Linked DNA regions of Callithrix jacchus. The protein of the gene in region 1 purifies or fractionates together with the protein of each later gene. This does not show direct contact. Links are inferred from orthologs where the notes say so. Each region holds a gene or a part of one and is shown in the gene's direction. Other genes may lie near its edges.

Evidence for each region. Proteins that work in one complex are often made in the same cells at the same time.
Region 2: the proteins of RIPK1 (region 1) and TICAM1 purify together in Homo sapiens (affinity purification with western blotting; 4 studies listed by BioGRID). This does not show direct contact. The link is inferred for Callithrix jacchus from reciprocal best matches to the Homo sapiens genes RIPK1 and TICAM1.
Region 3: the proteins of RIPK1 (region 1) and TAB1 purify together in Homo sapiens (affinity purification with mass spectrometry; 3 studies listed by BioGRID and IntAct, with this or other methods). This does not show direct contact. The link is inferred for Callithrix jacchus from reciprocal best matches to the Homo sapiens genes RIPK1 and TAB1.

Annotation. Positions count from the first base shown.
Region 1 is NC_133505.1:27,534,505-27,537,524, reverse strand, and holds part of RIPK1 (receptor-interacting serine/threonine-protein kinase 1), read left to right. Parts: intron 1-817; coding exon 818-970; intron 971-3,020. UniProt on the Homo sapiens protein: Serine-threonine kinase which is a key regulator of TNF-mediated apoptosis, necroptosis and inflammatory pathways.
Region 2 is NC_133523.1:4,577,543-4,580,910, reverse strand, and holds the end of TICAM1 (TIR domain-containing adapter molecule 1), read left to right. Parts: intron 1-344; 5' UTR 345-480; coding exon 481-2,574; 3' UTR 2,575-2,868; downstream 2,869-3,368.
Region 3 is NC_133502.1:210,223,156-210,226,637, forward strand, and holds part of TAB1 (TGF-beta-activated kinase 1 and MAP3K7-binding protein 1), read left to right. Parts: intron 1-743; coding exon 744-966; intron 967-2,372; coding exon 2,373-2,535; intron 2,536-3,482. UniProt on the Homo sapiens protein: Key adapter protein that plays an essential role in JNK and NF-kappa-B activation and proinflammatory cytokines production in response to stimulation with TLRs and cytokines.

The DNA of each region.
Region 1 (3,020 bases):
CTGTCTCCCAGGCTGGAGTGCAGTGGCACGATCTCAGCTCATTGCAACCTCCGCCTCCTGGGTTCAAGTGATTCTCCTGACTCAGCCTCCCAAGTAGCTGGGATTACAGGCTCCCGCCACCATGCCCGACGAATTTTTTTTAGAGACAGCGTTTCACCATGTTGGCCAGGCTGGTCTCAAACTCCTGACCTCAAGTGATCCACCTGCCTTGGCCTCCCAAAGTTCTGGGATTACAGGCGTGAGCTACCGCACCTGGCCAATGATACTCTTTATAGCAGGGCCTGCACCATTTTACATCCCCACCAGCAGTGTGTGAGGGCTCCATTCTTCCACGTCTTTGTCTATGTGTGTTAATTCTTTTTTTTTTTTTTTTTTTTTTTTGAGACGGAATTTCACTCTTGTTACCCAGGCTGGAGTGCAATGGCGCAATCTCGGCTCACCGCAACCTCCGCCTCCCGGGTTCAGGCAGTTCTCCTGCCTCAGCCTCCTGAGTAGCTGGGATTACAGGCACGCGCCACCATGCTGACCAGGATGGTCTCGATCTCTTGACCTCGTGATCCACCCACCTTGGCCTCCCAAAGTGCTGGGATTACAGGCTTGAGCCACCGTGCCCGGCCCTTTTTTTTTTTTTTTTTTGAATTGTAGACATCCTAATGGGTACGAGGTGGTTTAGTCACATTTTAAAGAAGAAAGTTTAAAGGATGGCATAGGATAGTTAACCCAATGTTTGGAGTAAAGCCAGGCTTTTTTGCAGTGCTATATTTTTTCTCTTGCTTTTGATCTAGAAGTACTTACCTGTGTGTTTCTCTCTATTCAGAGGAATCTATAAAATGTACCATACACAACAGTAGCGGTGTTCAGATTGGAGCCTACAATTATATGGAGGTTGGTGGGATGAGTTCATCACTATCAGACAGCATAAATATGAACTTTAAAGAAGAGCCAGCTTCTAAGTACCAAGATATCTTTGGTAAGATACCCTTGAAGGACCCAATGTCTATCAACCTTGAACTTTCTTGTGAGAAGGATGTAGTGGAATCTTGAAATTTCTCTGATAATTCTTCCTGAAAGTTTTCTCATGTTACTTCTGCAAAATAACTTTGTGATTTCTGTGTAATTTCTTTGTGATTTATTTATTTTTAATATGGAGATAATAACAGTATTTAATTCATGGCTTTGTTGTGAAAATTAAATGAGTTGATATGTATGAAAGCTTAGAACGCTCCCTGACACATAGTAGGGTCTATAAAAAGTGTTAAACTTTCATCATTATCATCAGTATTACTGCTCAGACCTGGAAGAAATAGCTGTGTCAGGCCCTCATCAAAGGAGATCCTGTAAAAGAGAGAAGACTGTGCCCTCCACAGCACTTCTGCAATAAAATCAAGAGGGCTGTCTCTTACAGGGTCCTACTGTGCAGGACCATAATGCTAATCTCGAGGTACAGTCTGGAAAAAGCAGTCATGAGGCCAAAACAACTTGATTAAGAACTCAGCTTTCTAATTAACAACAGGATTGTCTTTTTGTTCCTGTAAAGGAACCGATAGTAAATGTTAGGCATTGCTGGCTTTGAGGTCTCTCTTGGAACTACTCAACTCTGTTACCGTAGTACAAAAGCAACCATAGACAATACGTACATGAATGAACATTGCTGTGTCCCAATAAAACTTTATTTACAAATGGTGGCAAGGAGCCAGATTTGGCCCACAGGCTATAGTTGGCCAACCCCTGGTCTAACACATTTGAAGAACAGCTTTTAAAATACCTAGAACAGAGGTTCTTAACTTTTGATTAGCCAAGGACACCCTTGAGATTGTAATGAAACCTAGGATCTGTCCCATAAAGAAATACTGACAAAATTTGCCAAATATTTTGGGAAGTTTTTGGACTGCTGACAATCTAGCGGTGGCAACACAGGCCACATTATGGAGGGCTGAGGAAAGAAAGGAGGTTGAAAGGAAGAATGAGATGTTTTCTCCCTTACATTCTGTTTATTGAGGTAGAGTGGGGATTAGGGAATATGTTTGTTGTGGTTGTTTTACATTTTTATTTGTTTCCTTTTATTATTTTTATGAAGGGCTAAGAGAAGAACTAGTAGGAGAGAGGTTATGGCTATCGGAGAAGAGGCAATGGCAGTCGGGGGGTGGGGGGCAGGGAGAAGGGTTCAAAAACAGACCTTTCATCGTGTGAAAGACAAGGAAGGCATTGTAACTGAATGGGTTCACACCTGCTGGACAGTTTCCTTGATTAAGAGGAAAGTGAACTGTTGGGCAGGGGTGATGGTCAGGAGGTAAGTGGCTTTAACTCTGGCCAGATGTAAGTGAAAAATGTCCAAAAGGAACAAAAATGGTGGGTTTTTCCTTTACATCCAGGAAAGTCTAACACAAACAGGGTCACCGGCTAAGATTGAATAGAACACCCAGCCTTGTAGCCACATAGGGGTTTTGTTCACAGAGCCATCAGCTGTGGCTCAGAGATGTGTCTGCTAGGAGGAAGGAATGCCTTATTCTTTTGTTTTGCTTTTGAGACAGCATCCTGCTCTGTGGCCCAGGCTGGAGTACAGTGACACAGTCATGGCTCACTGCAGCCTTGAACACCTGGGCTCAAGTGATCCTCCTGTCTCAGCCTCCTAACTGAGACTACAGGCATGTGCCACCATGCCCAGTTAATTTTTTTTTTTTGTAGAGACAGGGTCTTGCTATGTTGCCAAAGCTGGTCTAGAACTCCTGGGTTCAAGTGATCCTCCTTCCTTAGCCTCCCAAAGTGTTGGGATTATAGACATGACCCACTACGCCAGGACAGGAATGCCCTATTCTAAGTCACACAAAGACTCCATGTGGGCTAGCAGGGATATAAAATGTCCACCAAGGTGTCAACAGCTATATAATTAAGACGTTATCTTTTTCACTGTCTCCTGCTACTCTTCACCTCACTTGGGGTTTTTTTTAGCAATTCAGGAAGCTGGAATGTTTGAATGGGTTTTATTTAGCTTGATACCTTCTTCTCTTTCCCATTTGGCA
Region 2 (3,368 bases), on another chromosome or scaffold:
GTGCTGGGATTACAGGCTTGAGCCACTGCACCCGGCCTGCTAATTTTTAAATTTTTAGTAGGGATAGAGTCTGGCTATGTTGACCAGGCTGGTCTCACAGTCCTGGGCTTAAGTGATCCTCCCACCTCAGCCTCCCAAAGTTCTGAGATCACAGGCGTGAGCCACCACACTGGCCTCATGGCATTTTGCAGAGGAGGACGTGGAAGTTGGAGGTGGCGTGTTCCCAAAGGTCACCTTGCTAGGTCTTGGTGGCAGGCGGGGAAAGCAGACAGGGGCCTGTGGGCCACCTTCCCGTGCTGACCTCTCTTGGGGGTAACTGTGTTTGCCTGTCCTGTTTCCTACAGATCTGCTTGGGGAGCTCCGGCAGAATCTGGAACAGTGAATGAGTAGAGGGAGCCGGGCGTGCAGAAGGCGGGCAGTGTGGAACATGCCTTCACCACCCCCAGCTTCTGCCGCCCGAGGCCGAACCCACCTGTGCCCATGGCCTGCAAGGGCCCGTCACTTCCCAGCGCCTTCGACATCCTGGGCACAGCGGGCGAGGAAAAGCTCTTGTATCTGAAGCACAAACTGAAGACTCTGCGCCCAGGCTGCCAGGGGCGGGACCTCCTGCACGCCATGGTGCTGCTGAAGCTGGGCCAGGAGACCGAGGCCAGGATCTCTCTAGAGGCACTGAAGGCTGATGCCGCGGCTCAGCTAGTAGCCCGCCAGTGGGCTGGTGTGGACAGCACTGAGGACCCAGAGGAGCCCCCGGACGTATCCTGGACTGTGGCCCGCTTGTACCACCTGCTGGCTGAGGAGAAGCTGTGCCCGGCTTCGCAGCGGGATGAGGCCTACCGGGAAGCCCTCCGGACTCTCAGCGCCAGGGACGACCACCGGCTGGGGGAGCTCCAGGATGAGGCCCGGGACCGGTGTGGGTGGGACGTGGCTGGGGATCCAGGGAGCATCCAGACACTCCAGTCCAATCTGGGCTGCCTCCCACAGTCCTCAGCTTCGCCCTCTGGGACCCGGAGCCTCCCTCGCCCCATCGATGGGGTTTCAGGCTGGAGCCAAGGGCGTTCCCTGAGGTCAACTGGCAGCCCCGCCTCCCTGACCAGCAACTTGGAAATCAGCCAGTCGCCCACGATGCCCCTCCTCAGCTTGCACCGCAGCCCCCAGGGGCCCAGCAAGCTCTGTGATGACCCTCAGGCCAGCAAGGTGCCCGAGCCTGTCCCTGGTGGCTGCCAGGAGCCTGAGGAGATGAGCTGGCCGCCCTCGGGGGAGATTGCCAGCCCCCCAGAGCTGCCAAGCAGCCCACCCCCTGGATTTTGCAAAGTGGCCCCAGATGCAACTTCGACTGGCCTCCTTGACACCCCTGAAGCTCCAGAAACCAGCACCCAGTTCCCGGTGGAGTGCACCGAGGGGTCTGCAGGCCCCCAGTCTCTCCCCTTGCCCATTTTGGAGCCCCCCCAAAACCCCTGCCCTGTCAAAGGACAGACATCACCCCAACTTTCTGTAGAAGACACCACCTCTCCAAATACCAAGCCAAGCCCATCTCCCACCACCCCAAAAACATCCCATCCTCCTCCTCCTCCTCCATCAGCCCCCTCTTCAGCTCACCTGGCCCCCTCCTCCCTGTTCCCTTCCTCCCTGGAATCATCATCAGAGCAGAAATTCTATAACTTTGTGATCCTCCATGCCAGGGCGGACGAGCACATTGCCCTGCGGGTCCGGGAGAAGCTGGAGGCCCTCGGTGTGCCTGACGGGGCCACCTTCTGTGAGGACTTCCAGGTGCCCGGGCGCGGGGAGCTCCGCTGCCTGCAGGATGCAATTGACCACTCTGCCTTCATCATCCTCCTTCTCACCTCCAACTTCGACTGCCACCTGAGCCTGCACCAGGTGAACCAAGCCCTGGTGAGCAACCTCATGCGACAGGGGCCGTCAGACTGTGTCATCCCCTTCCTGCCCCTGGAGAGCTCCCTGGCCGAGCTCAGCTCCGACACAGCCAGCCTGCTCTCTGGGTTGGTGCGGCTGGACGAACACTCTCGGATCTTTGACAAGAAGGTGGCCAACACCTTCACGTCCTACAGGCTTCAGGCCCGAAAGGCCATGTGGAGGAAGGAACAGGACACCCGAGCCCTGCGGGAACAGAGCCAACACCTGGACAGTGAGCGGGTGCAGGTGGCCGCCATGAACGCTGCATATTCGGCCTACCTCCGGAGCTATCTGTCCTGGCAGGCACAGATGGAGCAGCTCCAGGCGGCTTTTGGGAGCCACATGTCATTTGGGACTGGGGCACCCTTTGGGGCTCAAATGCCCTTTGGTGGCCAAGTGCCTCTGGGAGCCCCGCCACCCTTTCCCACTGGGCTGGGGTACCCGCAGCCTCCACCCCTGCACGGGTGGCAGGTTGGTACTCCCCTACCGCCCTTCCCACAACCCTCAGGCTTCCCTACAGCCTCACCTGCGCCCCCTCAGAGCCCGGGACTGCAACCCCTCATTATCCACCATGCGCAGATGGTACAGCTGGGGCTGAACAACCACATGTGGAACCAGAGAGGGTCCCAGGCACCCGAGGACAGTACACAGGAGGCAGAATGACTGCTGTGCTGACCAGCTGGGGAACACACCTGGACCCAGGCATCAGCTTTGGGCAGGACCTCATAGACCACCCCGATCTGTCCTGTCCTCTGGGGACAGTGGAAGATGAAGTTATCTGCCACTTTCAGGACATTGCCGGGAGCCCTTCATTTAGGACAAAACAGACGCTCTGGCCTTTAGGGTGGCCAGAACTGGACATGGTGTTTACAATTCCGATCTATTTCTGGGTGAGGGTTCTTGGTGGTGGAGGTATTGCTACCGTCTTTTAATTATAATAAATATTTATTGAACGTTTCTGCAGCGCCATTGTCTTCTGGGACACCCTCTGCCCGGCTATTTGTTACAAAACACGTGGCTCCCGCGCCTACAAAAGAGAACCGGAAGCAGGAAGTGCACGCCTCTTGGAGGGCATAAGCCGGAAGTTGTCCACATCTGCCCTCATCCCACTGGCCAGAACATAATCACATGGGCCTACTCCTGCCGCAAGGGACGCTGGGAAATGTAGTCCTTTCTGAGCAGCCATGTGCCTTGCCGAGTCTCGGTTCTAATACCCTGAAAAGTGGAAGGAGAAGTTATTGTTGGGGGTCGGGGGACGGTGCAGCCTTGGCAACATGGTGAGACCCCGGCTGTACAAATATACAACAATTAGCCGGCCTAGATGGTGCACACTTGTAGTCCCAGCTACGCAGGAGGCCCAGGTCAAGGATTGCTTGAGCCCAGGAAGTGAAGGCTGCAGTGAGCTATGAATGAAGGAATGAATGAATTGGAATGAATGTCACTGAATGAATGCCGCT
Region 3 (3,482 bases), on another chromosome or scaffold:
GGGCAACAGAGTGAGACTCTGTCTCAAAAAAATAAAAAAAATCACATGAGATTCGATATTTTCTTATATATGAATAAAATAGACTTTGTGCTAGATGACTGTGCCCAGCTGTAGGCTAATGGAAGTGTTAGGAGCACATTTACGATAGGCTAGGCTAAGTGATGATGTCAGTAGGTTGGGTACATTCAATGCTTTTTCAGCTTACAATATTTTCAGCTTACATTGGGTTTCCCAGGACATAGCCCCATCCTAAATTGAGGAACGTCTGTATACTGGACAGGGACTTCTCTGATGTCAGGGACCCCGTTTTCATTTTGTATCCCCTGACAAAATCCTAGCACGGATAATAACATCACCTACAACAAGTTTGTTCCAGGAAAGTGTTTCATAAAAATGACACTTTGTACTGGGCTTTTTAGTGGCCGCCAGAGCACTCTCACACCATTGTTAGTTAATCCTCACAATCACCTAGTGGGGCGGATGTTCTCCCCACTCCTGGAGGTGTGCACCCAGCAGTTATAGAGATCACAAGGGCACACACTTCCTAATGAGAAAGTTCCAGAAGGATTATCCTGAATACCTTGAAAGGCTCAGATTGCAAGCTTGGCTGGCAGGCACTTCCTTCACCTGTTGGGCTATTGACCACTAAATCTCCTGATTTGGGGCTCTGAGATTATGGCCCATGTCCCCCCGGCCGCCCCCAGTTCCTTACCAGGTTCTTACTCCCCCTGCCCCCGCCCCAGGAGATTGCCGCAATGATTGACACTGAGTTCGCCAAGCAGACCTCGCTCGACGCAGTAGCCCAGGCGGTGGTGGACCGGGTGAAGCGCATCCACAGCGACACCTTTGCCAGTGGTGGGGAACGTGCCAGGTTCTGCCCCCGGCACGAGGACATGACCCTGCTGGTGAGGAACTTTGGCTACCCACTGGGCGAAATGAGCCAGCCCACAACGAGCTCAGCCCCAGGTACGTGTGCTGTGCAGACAGGCAGTGCCTGGGGATGCCATCTGGGGACCAGAGGTGGGTGCAGAACAGCCAAGGCTGATTAAAACGGAGATGGAGTTAGGAGGCCTGGCTCTGAGTGGCTCTAACCCAGGTTCTCTTGACTTTCAGCCTCTCTGTGCTGTGTGTTGATTTTTGCTTTTTTGTCTGTAAAATGAGGATAATACCACCTGTCCTGGCAACCTCCCAGAACCTGAGTGCACCAGCCAGCAATTCACAGAGCTGTGAAGCCGCATAGTAGAGATGATGGCCACCACTGGTTGAGCGCCTCCGGTGTGCCAGGAGCACGACCTGCATTATTTCCTTCAGTCCTCATTGGCAACCCTAAAAACAGGTGGTACCCCTGTTTTCCAGAGGGAGAAACTGAGGCTAAGAATGACGGGACCTCAAAGAGATTAGGCATGTGGACAGATGGTCAGGCCCCAAAGCCTGTCTGTCCCAGGGCTGCACTGGAGCAGGGCAGGAAGAAGGACATTTTGCTTTTTGCTTTTGTAATTCTTTTTTTTTTTTTTTTCTGAGATAGAGTCTTGCTCTTGTTGCCCAGGCTGGTGTGCAATGGCACGATTGCAGCTTACTGCAACCTCTGCCTCCCTGGTTCAAGTGATTCTCTTGCCTCAGCCTCCCAAGTAGCTGGGATTACAGGTGCACACCACCATGCCCAGCTAATTTTTGTATTTTTAGTAAGAACGGGGTTTCACCATGTTGGCCAGGCTGGTCTCAAACTCCTGACCTCATGATCTGCCTGCCTCGGCCTCCCAAAATGCTGGGATTACAGGCATGAGCCACTGTGGCTGGCCCCTGCCTTTGTAATTCTTCAACCAAGTTCTGAGAAAAAGAGGTGGCTGCTCTCTGCTGGGCTCCCCGAGAGCTGCTCAGTGCTAAGACCTTCAGTTCCTGAGGGCTGCTTTGTTTTTTCTTTGTTTTAAACAAGCAAACCTTAGGTAAAGCTTAGGCATCCACAGACAGATTTGTTCTCCCATGGACACCAGGGTTATTAGAGTTCCTTTGGCCTGTTGTTATTGCAACCATATTTTTATTGGGTCAGGCTCAACTGGGAGCGAACTTATCCTCTGGATTAAAGCAGCCTTGGAAAGTTAGACAGTAACCCTTTCCTTGAGGCACCTCAAGCACAAGCAGGCTTTACTGCTATGAGTTCCCAGCCTGGCCTGGAAGAGTTTCTGCCAAAGGAAACTCCTCCTAAGCTGTCCCAAGGGGCAGGGTGCCTTGCTGGGCTTGGGGAGCCAGGTGTGGCTGCTGCCCACACTCAGCCCTCAGGCACCACCCCATCAGGCCATGGAGCAGCTCTACCCCCACTACCCTGGGTTCCTCCTCAGCCGCTGCCTGAGGCCCCCACTCTCTTCCTCCCAAAGCTGCAGGGGGACGAGTGTACCCTGTGTCTGTGCCATACTCCAGTGCCCAGAGCACCAGCAAGACCAGCGTGACCCTCTCCCTTGTCATGCCCTCCCAGGGCCAGATGGTCAACGGGGCTCACAGCGCTTCCACCCTGGATGAAGCCACCCCCACCCTCACCAAGTAAGTCCCTCCCCAATTTAGCCACCCCCAGTCCTGTCACCCCCATGTGTGTCCTGTGGCACTGGTACAGAAATGACCATGGGGCCAAGTCTTGTGGATGAGATGCCCTGAGGTCTCAAATTTCCCAGCTCCGTGCCTGGTGAGGTAGGTCTCCCTAGGAACTGAGGCAGAAGGAAGAGGCAGCTTTTGCTGGGCCAGCTGGGGTTTCGGGTCAGGTAGCTGATGGTGCCAGCCTACTTCTTAGATTTTCTTGTGAGCCCCATCTGCTGGTTTCATTCAGTGAAAGGTTCTCTCTCTTTTTTTTTTTTTTTTTTTTTTTGAGACGGTTTCACTTTTGTTGCCCAGGCCAGAGTATAATGGCAAGATCTTGGCTCACCGCAACCTCTGCTTCCCGGGTTCAAGCAATTCTCCCGCCTCAGTCTCCTGAGTAGTTGGGATTACAGGCATGCGCCACCAGGCCTGGCTAATTTTTCTTGTATTTTTAGTAGAGATGGGGCTTCTCCATGTTGGTCAGGCTGGTTTCGAACTCCCGACCTCAGGTGATCTGCCCACCTTGGCCTCCCAAAGTGCTGGGATTATAGACGTGAGCCACTGCACCCAGCCTTGAAGGTTCTCTTTCATTCTCCACCTGGGCATGATGTGGGGCAGCTTCCTGTGGTGTCCTTGCTTGGGGACATTGTCTGGCCTGTACTGGCTTGCAGATCCCATGCTTTCTGGCTGATGTGCCCGATTTTAGCTTTGAAGTAAGTTCTCTGGTTTTGAGGGCAGGGGGCGAGGTGGAGGCAGCAGCCTGAAGGTGTTGCCAACAGGCCCCCTCTAGCTGCAGACCTGTCTAACAGGTCTGGAGTATACCCCACCCCCTTCACTTCCGTGGAATGTGTACTCCCCACACCAGGGGACCCGGATCTGGTTTCCACATTCCAGCCCTGCATTGTATAATAGAGATG